Linked DNA regions of Schizosaccharomyces pombe. The gene in region 1 interacts genetically with each later gene. Each region holds a gene or a part of one and is shown on either strand. Other genes may lie near its edges.

Region 1 (4,702 bases):
TTATTCTAACCCCTCCCCCGAAAAAAAAATGAAAAAATACTAAAAAAGATAATGATTATGGAAAATTTTAAAGGAAAAAATTTGTTTCCGCAGCGCTACTCTTGATTATTTCGTAAGACCAAGTAAACTAAATATAAAGCGTTTTGTCTTAAAAAACTATTGCAGTATAGAATGTTTCCTCTACTGCAAAACAAAATCCATACAGCTAGCTCTTAGGGTTATCAATTAGGGTTATTGAAGCCATACATTTTACCTGATCACTGTTTATGGCAGCGATCACAGTCATGTTAAATTACGTTACAAGTCGGTATTTAGCCACGTTCCTTCAACCACTTAGTCAAAAATGGATCGCATTTCTGCTCAAAAAGATATTTTCAAAAAGGGTATGTCCCTGTAAAACTATTAATTTAACATCTTTTAGTCGTCAATAAGGAAAACTCTTCCATTTTCGTGAGTCTTGGCGTATTTGCAGTTTCTGTAGCCATCTTGAAATCCAGACTGGGAAACTTTTTGGTACCACAATTGTAAATGGATGTTTGAATTTCACGGACTAAACGTCTTCAGCTTTGGATTCAGAAAAATATTACTTCATAACGTTGTATGGTTGTTTCATAAATAAAATGAACTCCCAGTTTCAATAAAGGTTCAAAGCTAAACAACATATATCTTTCATGAATATCATTGTGCTTTGTAATTTTTGTTAGCGATCTAAAATTTGAAATATTTATGTTATCTAGTGTCATGCGAAGTACGTAGGAGCATTAGTTGGTAGGAACATTTTTACATATAAGCTAGTTCGATTCTGATATCTTGCGTCTATTTATGTTTCCTTAGATGTTTGAAGTCAATAACCAATATTCGTCCATTCACTACAGATTTTTGTGTGAACATTGGACTAGGAACCATTTCGTTTGTCGTTTATGCGAAAATTTTTATGTACGAATGTAGTCGGCGTGGAGAATGTTTTAACAACGACTCCTTCATTTACAGATAGATGCCAAACAAGAAACGTTTTTCCTCCTTTTAATATCCAACCGGTTACATGGTTGTGCAACATCCAAATATACTAAGTATGGAGAATATCCGTTTTTTCGAAAAATTGCTACTATTCTGAATTAAGGATGCGTACTATTGGTAAACATTGCGCTTGATGTTTCGAATAAGCCTTTCAATGGAAGTTGTTTCTTATTTATCGCGGTTATTGGTATAGACGGATGTTTTGCACCAAATTCATTCGTCTTTTCAAATACGAATTGATTTCGTTGTGGAGAGTAAGAGCAGGAACCTTAATGTAAGCGAAATTATCGCCTTCTTAAGTCATGTCACGGAAACCTGAAACAATATTTAATTATTTAATTGGGATCTAAGATCCAACTATTTAATAATATAAGAATCAAAAGATCCTCTTCTAGTAACTTTTTCTTGTATTTTTTTGCAAGCCAAAGTTTTAATGACGGCCTTTTAATTCATTGATACACTCTATTACGTAATAGATTGAAAATCAGTAAAACTGATTAAGGCATAGCAAGCAATTGTACTTTATTTCAGTCATCGTCAGCGCCGTTACACGCGGCTCACTACAAAGCGGTGTGTCGTCATCCCTTTCCTTCAGATTCCTCTCTATCCTTTAACCAAGCCGCTTTTTTTGGTTAAATCCTTCATCTTTCAATAAATTGCGAAATCTCTCAGTGTTGTTTTTCGTATAAATTTGTAATTTATACGGTGGAGTTGATTAGTTATTCGTTCAACTCGCACTGTGCATATTTATCGGCTTATTTTAGTGAATATTTTCGATTTTCTGCCGAATATTATATTTGTATTTGTAGCTACACGCTATAAACAAGAAAATTAGAAGATTCCTCCAAATTCATATTTTAAGCTTCATATCCACAAGTGTTTCCCTTTGTTCCAGATCGAGATTATCGTAAGCGAAACTAGCTCTTTGTCAGTTGTTCCATTAAATTGATTAGCCGGTTGGTGCGTTCATTTCAAACTCTTTGACTTTTTTCCTTTAAAGCACTTCTTTTTTAGATTCCTTTGGTTAATCTGTCAACTACTACTTTGTAAATAGTATAACTTGTGGTTCCTTTTTGCACTGTTGTGCATCGACTCACGTTCCAAGAGATCACTATTTTACGTTACTTTAAAGTGATTCGAGTGTGAATGAAGGCACTCGTATTCTGCCTATACTGATATATTCTTTGCAATACTTTACAAAAAGGCGTCTCTATTCATATGGATTCGGATTCGCCCATTCTTCCATTATCGAACAATCCTCCTGCTGCGAGGACTCATGATCACTCGCAGCGTAATAATCATGCTCGTCATGTCTCGTCTTCTGGAACAACTTTGTTTGCTCCTGTCAAACCGGCAACCAAGAAATACAATTACAGAAGGGTGTCTCCCCATGGAAGCTATATTAGCGTACGAAATTTTTTACTTGCTCTGCATTTTACTAATTAAACATATAGCCCTTAGAAGCAATGACTGTGAAACTAGCTGATACATATTCAATTTGTAATCCAAAATTCCAGTTTTCTTCCGAACAAAACCCTCGGAGACCACTCACCAAACCCAGTGAAGGAGTTCACAACCATGGTTTTGATAACGTCAATCATGATTATGTATTGTATGTTAACGATTTGCTAGGAACGGATGAAGGCCGTAAATATTTGATTCTCGACACCCTGGGGCATGGCACATTTGGTCAAGTTGCTAGATGCCAAGATCTTAAAACCCAACAAATTGTAGCTATTAAAGTTATCAAAAATAAGCCGGCATTTTATAACCAATGTGTGATGGAGGTTTCTATACTAGAGCTCCTTAACAATAAGTACGATCCAGAAGACAAGCGCCATTTAATTCGTTTATATGATCAATTTATGCATAAAAATCATTTGTGTCTCGTTTTTGAGTTACTCAGTATTAATCTTTATGAGCTTATCAAGCAAAATCAGTTCCGTGGTTTACATTTAAGTCTTGTTCGTTCTTTCGCAACGCAACTTCTATCGTGCACATCTCTCCTCAAACAAGCTCGAATCATACATTGTGATCTAAAGCCGGAAAATATCCTGTTGCAGGATTTATCATCACCGATTGTGAAAGTGATAGATTTTGGTAGTGCTTGTCACGAACGCCAAACAGTTTATACCTATATTCAATCGCGATTCTATCGCAGTCCGGAAGTAATTTTAGGACTACATTATAACTGTGGAATTGATATGTGGTCTTTGGGATGCATTTTAGCTGAACTATTCTTAGGTCTTCCCTTGTTCCCTGGAAATTCCGAATATAATCAATTATGTCGGATTGTTGACATGCTTGGTAATCCTCCCACTTGGATGTTAGAAATGGGTAAAAATTCGAAGAAATATTACAATTCTGGTTTTGTAAACGGTAGAAAAACTTATGAGCTTAAATCGATCGAACAGTTTTCTATCGAAAACAACAAAACAGAGCAACCTGGAAAACAATATTTTGGTGAAAAGACACTCGATGCTATTGTTTTAAATTATCCTCGCCGAAAAACCACACCTAAGCTTACTCCTGAAGAACATGAAGAGAGACTTTGTTTCATCGATTTCATAAAGCAGTTTTTAGAGTTAAATCCTTTGAAGAGATGGACTCCTGACCAGGCGAAAAATCATCCTTTTATCACAGGTGCCTCTTTCAGTCAATACTGCATTGACAAACAAAAACCACTGCTTACAACTCAAAGAACGAGGAACCGTTCTCATACTATTGGAAATCAAGCGGTGGTTCCTCCTTCCTTACAGCGTGCAAGCACTTATGTTTCCAACGAACCTGAAGAATTTGTACATACTCGACCGCTGCCTCAATATTATCCTCCCGCTAATGAGAACGAAAATGTAGATGAATTTTTCTAATGTCATATTTTACGTATAGAAACATTCAAATTTATTTAAAATATTTAATAGGCATGATCCATTCCAAATTTTTTTTTTATGTTGTACCAATTTTCTAATAGCTTTCGTAAAACGTTTTCAATTTTCATAAAGCATTCAAACTTTTGATGATATATACATACTACGAATATTTTCAAAGTTCCTTCGAGGCTTCAATATGCAGTTTTCAATAGTAAATAGTATAAAGCATTTACAAATTTAACGCTATATTTAGCGCTACGGTAAATACTCTATGTAGAGAGGTTTTATACTTTTATGTAGTAGACATTCACAAATCGCCAAAATGAAATCAAGTTCACTTGAAAATGGGACTCTTGCTAATGCGGGTGTTTACGAAGATGATCTAGATAGCGACGAAGAATTGGTCTCAGAAGAAGAATTTGAAAACTTTAATAATGAAGATTCAGAAGACGATGAAGACTCAAACAACGAATCAAAAACAGCTAAAAGTCGTATGTTAAAAATTCTTTTATTTTCTTAATTAATATTTACTCACAAATTTGAAGAGTTAGCTGAGATTCCGTTTGATACATTGTTGAATGCTCAAAGGGACCTGCTTAAAGAACAGCAAAAAACAAAGATAATGACAGAAAAAATATGAAACATACTGAGAAAGTTGACAAAAAATTTTTGGCGAAAGAAAGAAACACGCCCCTCAAGAATTGTCAAGTAAAAAACCAGTTTCTCGTTTTCGCGAAGTAATATCTGAACCAAAAAAATTTACTCGTGATCCCAGATTTGACTCTTTATCGGGAAACTTAAGTAAAGATAAAGTG
Region 2 (4,376 bases), on another chromosome or scaffold:
AAAAGCTGTCACCAAGAAATTCTAGCCTTTCATTATGGATATCCAACAATTCATTCGGATTCGACTGATTTGGATAAATTTCATAAGCTCTAGAAATATGCATAAAAACTTGTTCCTTTAGTTTCTCAGACCGTAAAGGTGGTAATGGCGGGGGATACTCTCCTTCTTCAAACTCCTCAGATGTTGGTTCATTATTTTCTTGATTTTTTTGATTTTTTGGGTGAGAGGAGGGTTCTTCAATGACAGGTTCGTTTTGGCGATCATGCCTTGACTTCAACATTTCGTAGACTCCTTCAATATGGCTCCAAGTAGAACCAGGGATAACCAAATTCACATCATCCTTTGTTGAATGCTTTGTTTCTTCTAGCAAGGCTTTCATAGCAAACATGAGTTTACGAATTTTTTTTTCCAAAATATAATACTGCCGATTTTTTATGTGGCTACTTCGCTTGTGACCAAGAGACCTTCTTCCTCTTGATAAAGAGTCGGAAGCGGATGAGGAGGAATCTGAGTCCCCTTCATGATGCCTCTTAAACCGTCCCATAGGAAAATGGTAGAAATATAAAGTAGATTGTGAGAAGGAAAACGGTGCTAAAAGAGACAGAAGTATCCAAGAATGCTGTATTGGGATCTACTTAAAAAATCGGTGTCAAAAATGGCCGAGAATTAAGTACGGAACAGAGTTCCGGTAAAAATATCGTCAGTAGAAGAAATGTGCAGTACCAGGATACTGTTCTAAGGGCCACAACGAAAAAGTTATTTACCCAAAATTACTTTACTTTGTGTTTTCTTTAGAAATATACCACAAACAGTAAAGAACAATCAAGAAGTAAAAAATGATCAGCACGAAAAGCTCCGTGTAATATACAAATGCAAAAAATCTTGTAACAAAACAATCAACCAAAAACAGCTCTCCAATGTGAAGAACACCTACCCAGCTAAGAAAAAAATGCAAAAAAAATGTTCTTCGAATAGCTGAATATAAAAAAATAAATATTTTTTACAGTGAAAAAAGTCTTTTTCAATGTTATAATCTTCAAATCTACCAATTAATGATATCTGAAGCAAATCGAAAATGCAGCGTAAAATCGAAATGTGATTAAAAACCGTATGTTGACCAAACCAAGGACCAGCAATCCTCCTTATTTGAAAGAAAGCTCTATCACCGTAGATGCAAGACAACGCTACTTACTTTGCAAAAACCCGAATGAAAAATAAACAATCTGAAATGCAAGTTCGTAGGAACTACCAAACCGTCAATATGAATAAGAAAACAACTCTTTTCTTTAAAAAGAATATGCAGACTCGTTCAACCTCATATGTGTGGGAGTTTGTTTATGTTGGGCAGTGAGGGACGAGAAAGGAGAAGGAAGAAAGAAACACTCTTTTTCCAACTTAGCGGTTTATTTCACCACGTTCGTTGGTTAACATGAGCAGAGAAAGAATAGGGGCGTACCGCAGCACAACGGTCAACAAAGTATGTTAATGTCAGCAATACTACACTACGCTATGATACACTACGTTGCGTATCACTATATGTCATATGTTGGAATACTAGCTAAGATCCGTTTATTGATAATCACGGGTAACTATCCGTCTATATACATAGATACCCGTTAATAACAACTATTTAGAAATATTATAAATAGCGTTACAACTGAACCTCGTTCCTCAGTTCAGTTATGAGCTATATTAGTGATAGGTAACATTATAACCCAGTTAATACAATACCTATACTCAGTTGCTACTTATACAACCTGTGTATTGTAATATAAATAGACCATAAGGAAAACTCACCGCAGTTCTACGTATCCTTAAATCAGATACCAAACTGCGTAGCTTACAGTTAAAGTTGAATACGTTGCTACTGTTTATTGTAGTAACAAATTTTAAAGCAAAAGGTTTAGTATTTCGTAAACCAAGTTAAAGGAATATTATCGAGGTTTATGGAAATGTTTACGAAAAGATGGATGTTTTAGGGCCACTCTAGAGCTCACTAATTCAATTTCCCATAATTTCTGGAATGGCAGAAAATGCAGGAAATGAAACAAAATTGGTGGAAAATGAGAATTTACAAGAGGATTTAAGTCGTTTGAACTTAGAAGATGAAAAAAATGAGCTCAAATTGAATGAAAAAGGCGGAGTTTTGAAAGAAAACGATGAACATTTAGAATGTTCAGAATCTTTCAAGAAATTGGCGGAGAAGGAGGAAGCTTATCAAACATTAAAGAATTCTTATAACTCATTGAAGCAGCAACACTCTAATTTACTCGGGAAGGTCTCGGGAATTAAGTCAACGTTGGGAGAAAGGCTTAAGAAGGATTCTCAAGAGTTAGCTCAAAATCGAAAACGAATTCAAGAGCTCGAAAAGTCTTTGGGCGATGCAGAGGAAGCACTTAAGTTGAGCAATGAAGAAACCGTAACCTTGACCGCACAAGTAGAAAGCTTAACGCAAGATATAACAGATTTGAGACAGCAAAATGCTTCGCTTGTTGAAGAAAATCAATTGTTATCGACTCAATCAAAACAATGGGAAAGAAGAGCCAGAGATGAACATGAGATGCAAGAATCATTGGCCGTTCGATTGGCAGATTGTGAAGAGCAGCTAGCTAGAGAAACTGAAAGACAAGAGCAGTATGAAGTTGAAATTCAACGTCATTTGACAAATCAGCATCAACTAGAAATTGAATTAGAATCCACCAAAGCTTCCCATACTGAAAACCTCGGTGAACTTACCAGAAATTGGCAGAAGGCCATGGACGACGTGACTGAGAAATTCGCTTCTAAATCAAAAGAGTACGAAGATTTGCAAAATGAGTTAGATGCTACACAGAAAAGGCTTTCAAGGGTCTCTGATTTGGAGCACGAGGTGAAAGAAAAAACCCTACTTATTGGTAAACTGCAGCACGAGGCCGTTGTTTTGAATGAACATCTTACAAAGGCTCTCTGCATGCTTAAAGATGGAAATAATGCAGAAAAAATTGACAAACAACTTATTTCTAATTTGTTTGTCTCCTTTTTGACGCTTCCTCGCGCTGACACTAAACGTTTCGAAATATTGCAATTAATTTCTTCCGTGTTAGATTGGAACGATACGCAAAGGGAACAAACGGGACTTCAACGTCCTGGTTCCTCTGTAAATAATTGGAGTATTCCTCACAGTGCGTCCTCTAACTCTCTATTCTCCGATCATTCCTTTTCCAAAAGACGTTCTTTCCATGACTCATAATTTTCTTCCACACTAACCGATAATTTTACGTTTCAATTGAGCAATGGTATGAAAGATTTTTCTTTTTTCTGTAAATAATAATATCTTTCGCTCTTTTTATGTATCGCTTTTTTTTTTCTTACTTCACAACTTAATTAGGGGTTACCTTTTGCCGCGCGTACAAGGTTTTAGTATTTTTTTACTCTCTTTTCACACATTTTGAAGGTTGACTATATCATTCTTGAAGTAATAGTTTCATACGTTCATTTTGATATTTTGCCTTCTCCTGCTATGCCTAGCTTTATGGCAAAAGCGCTTGTTGCAATTTCATCTATTAGTCAATATTCTTAATTTTCAAAATTGTTTGTTAATATCAGTTTTTTCGAAGAATTTTAAAAATATCATTTTATTTTAATCACTCAGGTCATAGTTATGGTCTGTATTACTAGTATGCAAAAGCAACATAGCTATATGCAAAGTAACTAATCATTATGAAGACATTATTATGAAAATTTATTTTTCGGCTCATTAGAATCCTTCTTTATCTGTGTAAAAACACCATCACGAAACCATTTGTTGGCCTCTTCTACTTTTTGTTGTCGTTGAAGTAAGGGGTTCACTAGTTCAATGCCTTGAATAGGTGTGAAGGATAATGAACTTTGTAAACCGCTTGCAGCAAGGGGATTCTTCTGTGCCATTGATTGTAGTTGGGCCTTCCGCGCTTTTGGTAACCGTAATTTAGTTCGAGAATCAATTGACACTGCACGAATTTTTCCTTCACCTTCTTGACCAAGCATACCAAGACCTTCCGTTTCGTCAAAATTAAAGACTTCCGCCTCCTCCTTACCAAAGGCGACGCGATTCTGTAATCTCCGCAATTCCGTTACGGCATATTGCTCTTTCATCTTGCGAATTCTTCTTCCTCCACGACGACGTTTTGGCCTATCGTCAGGAACGGGTAGCGCAACAGTTGGTTTCTGTGATGGAGGTTCCAAAAGCTTTTCAATTTTCCGTTCAACTTCCTTTCGAGCAGATATGCCAAATGAGCCATCAGGATATTCATGAATGGAATCGATTCTTGCTGCTAAAGCAACTTTAGCAGCAGTCATTCGGATAGCTTGCTTTCGTACATCAGGAGGGGTCTTTTGAACAATTTCCGACATATACA

The links.
Region 2: mutations in ppk15 (region 1) and rud3 together harm fitness less than expected from each alone (positive genetic interaction), as found in Schizosaccharomyces pombe (one large-scale study listed by BioGRID).

Annotation. Positions count from the first base shown.
Region 1 is NC_003424.3:2,583,520-2,588,221, forward strand, and holds ppk15 (serine/threonine protein kinase Ppk15), read left to right. Parts: upstream 1-1,653; 5' UTR 1,654-2,235; coding exon 2,236-2,424; intron 2,425-2,471; coding exon 2,472-3,887; 3' UTR 3,888-3,955; downstream 3,956-4,702. Other genes in the region: tom6 (uncharacterized protein), read left to right, coding at 344-383, 422-528.
Region 2 is NC_003423.3:738,252-742,627, forward strand, and holds rud3 (golgin protein Rud3), read left to right. Parts: upstream 1-2,011; 5' UTR 2,012-2,023; coding exon 2,024-3,229; 3' UTR 3,230-3,625; downstream 3,626-4,376. Other genes in the region: double-strand-specific ribonuclease Pac1, read right to left, coding at 1-544; U4/U6 x U5 tri-snRNP complex subunit Prp31, read right to left, coding at 3,712-4,376.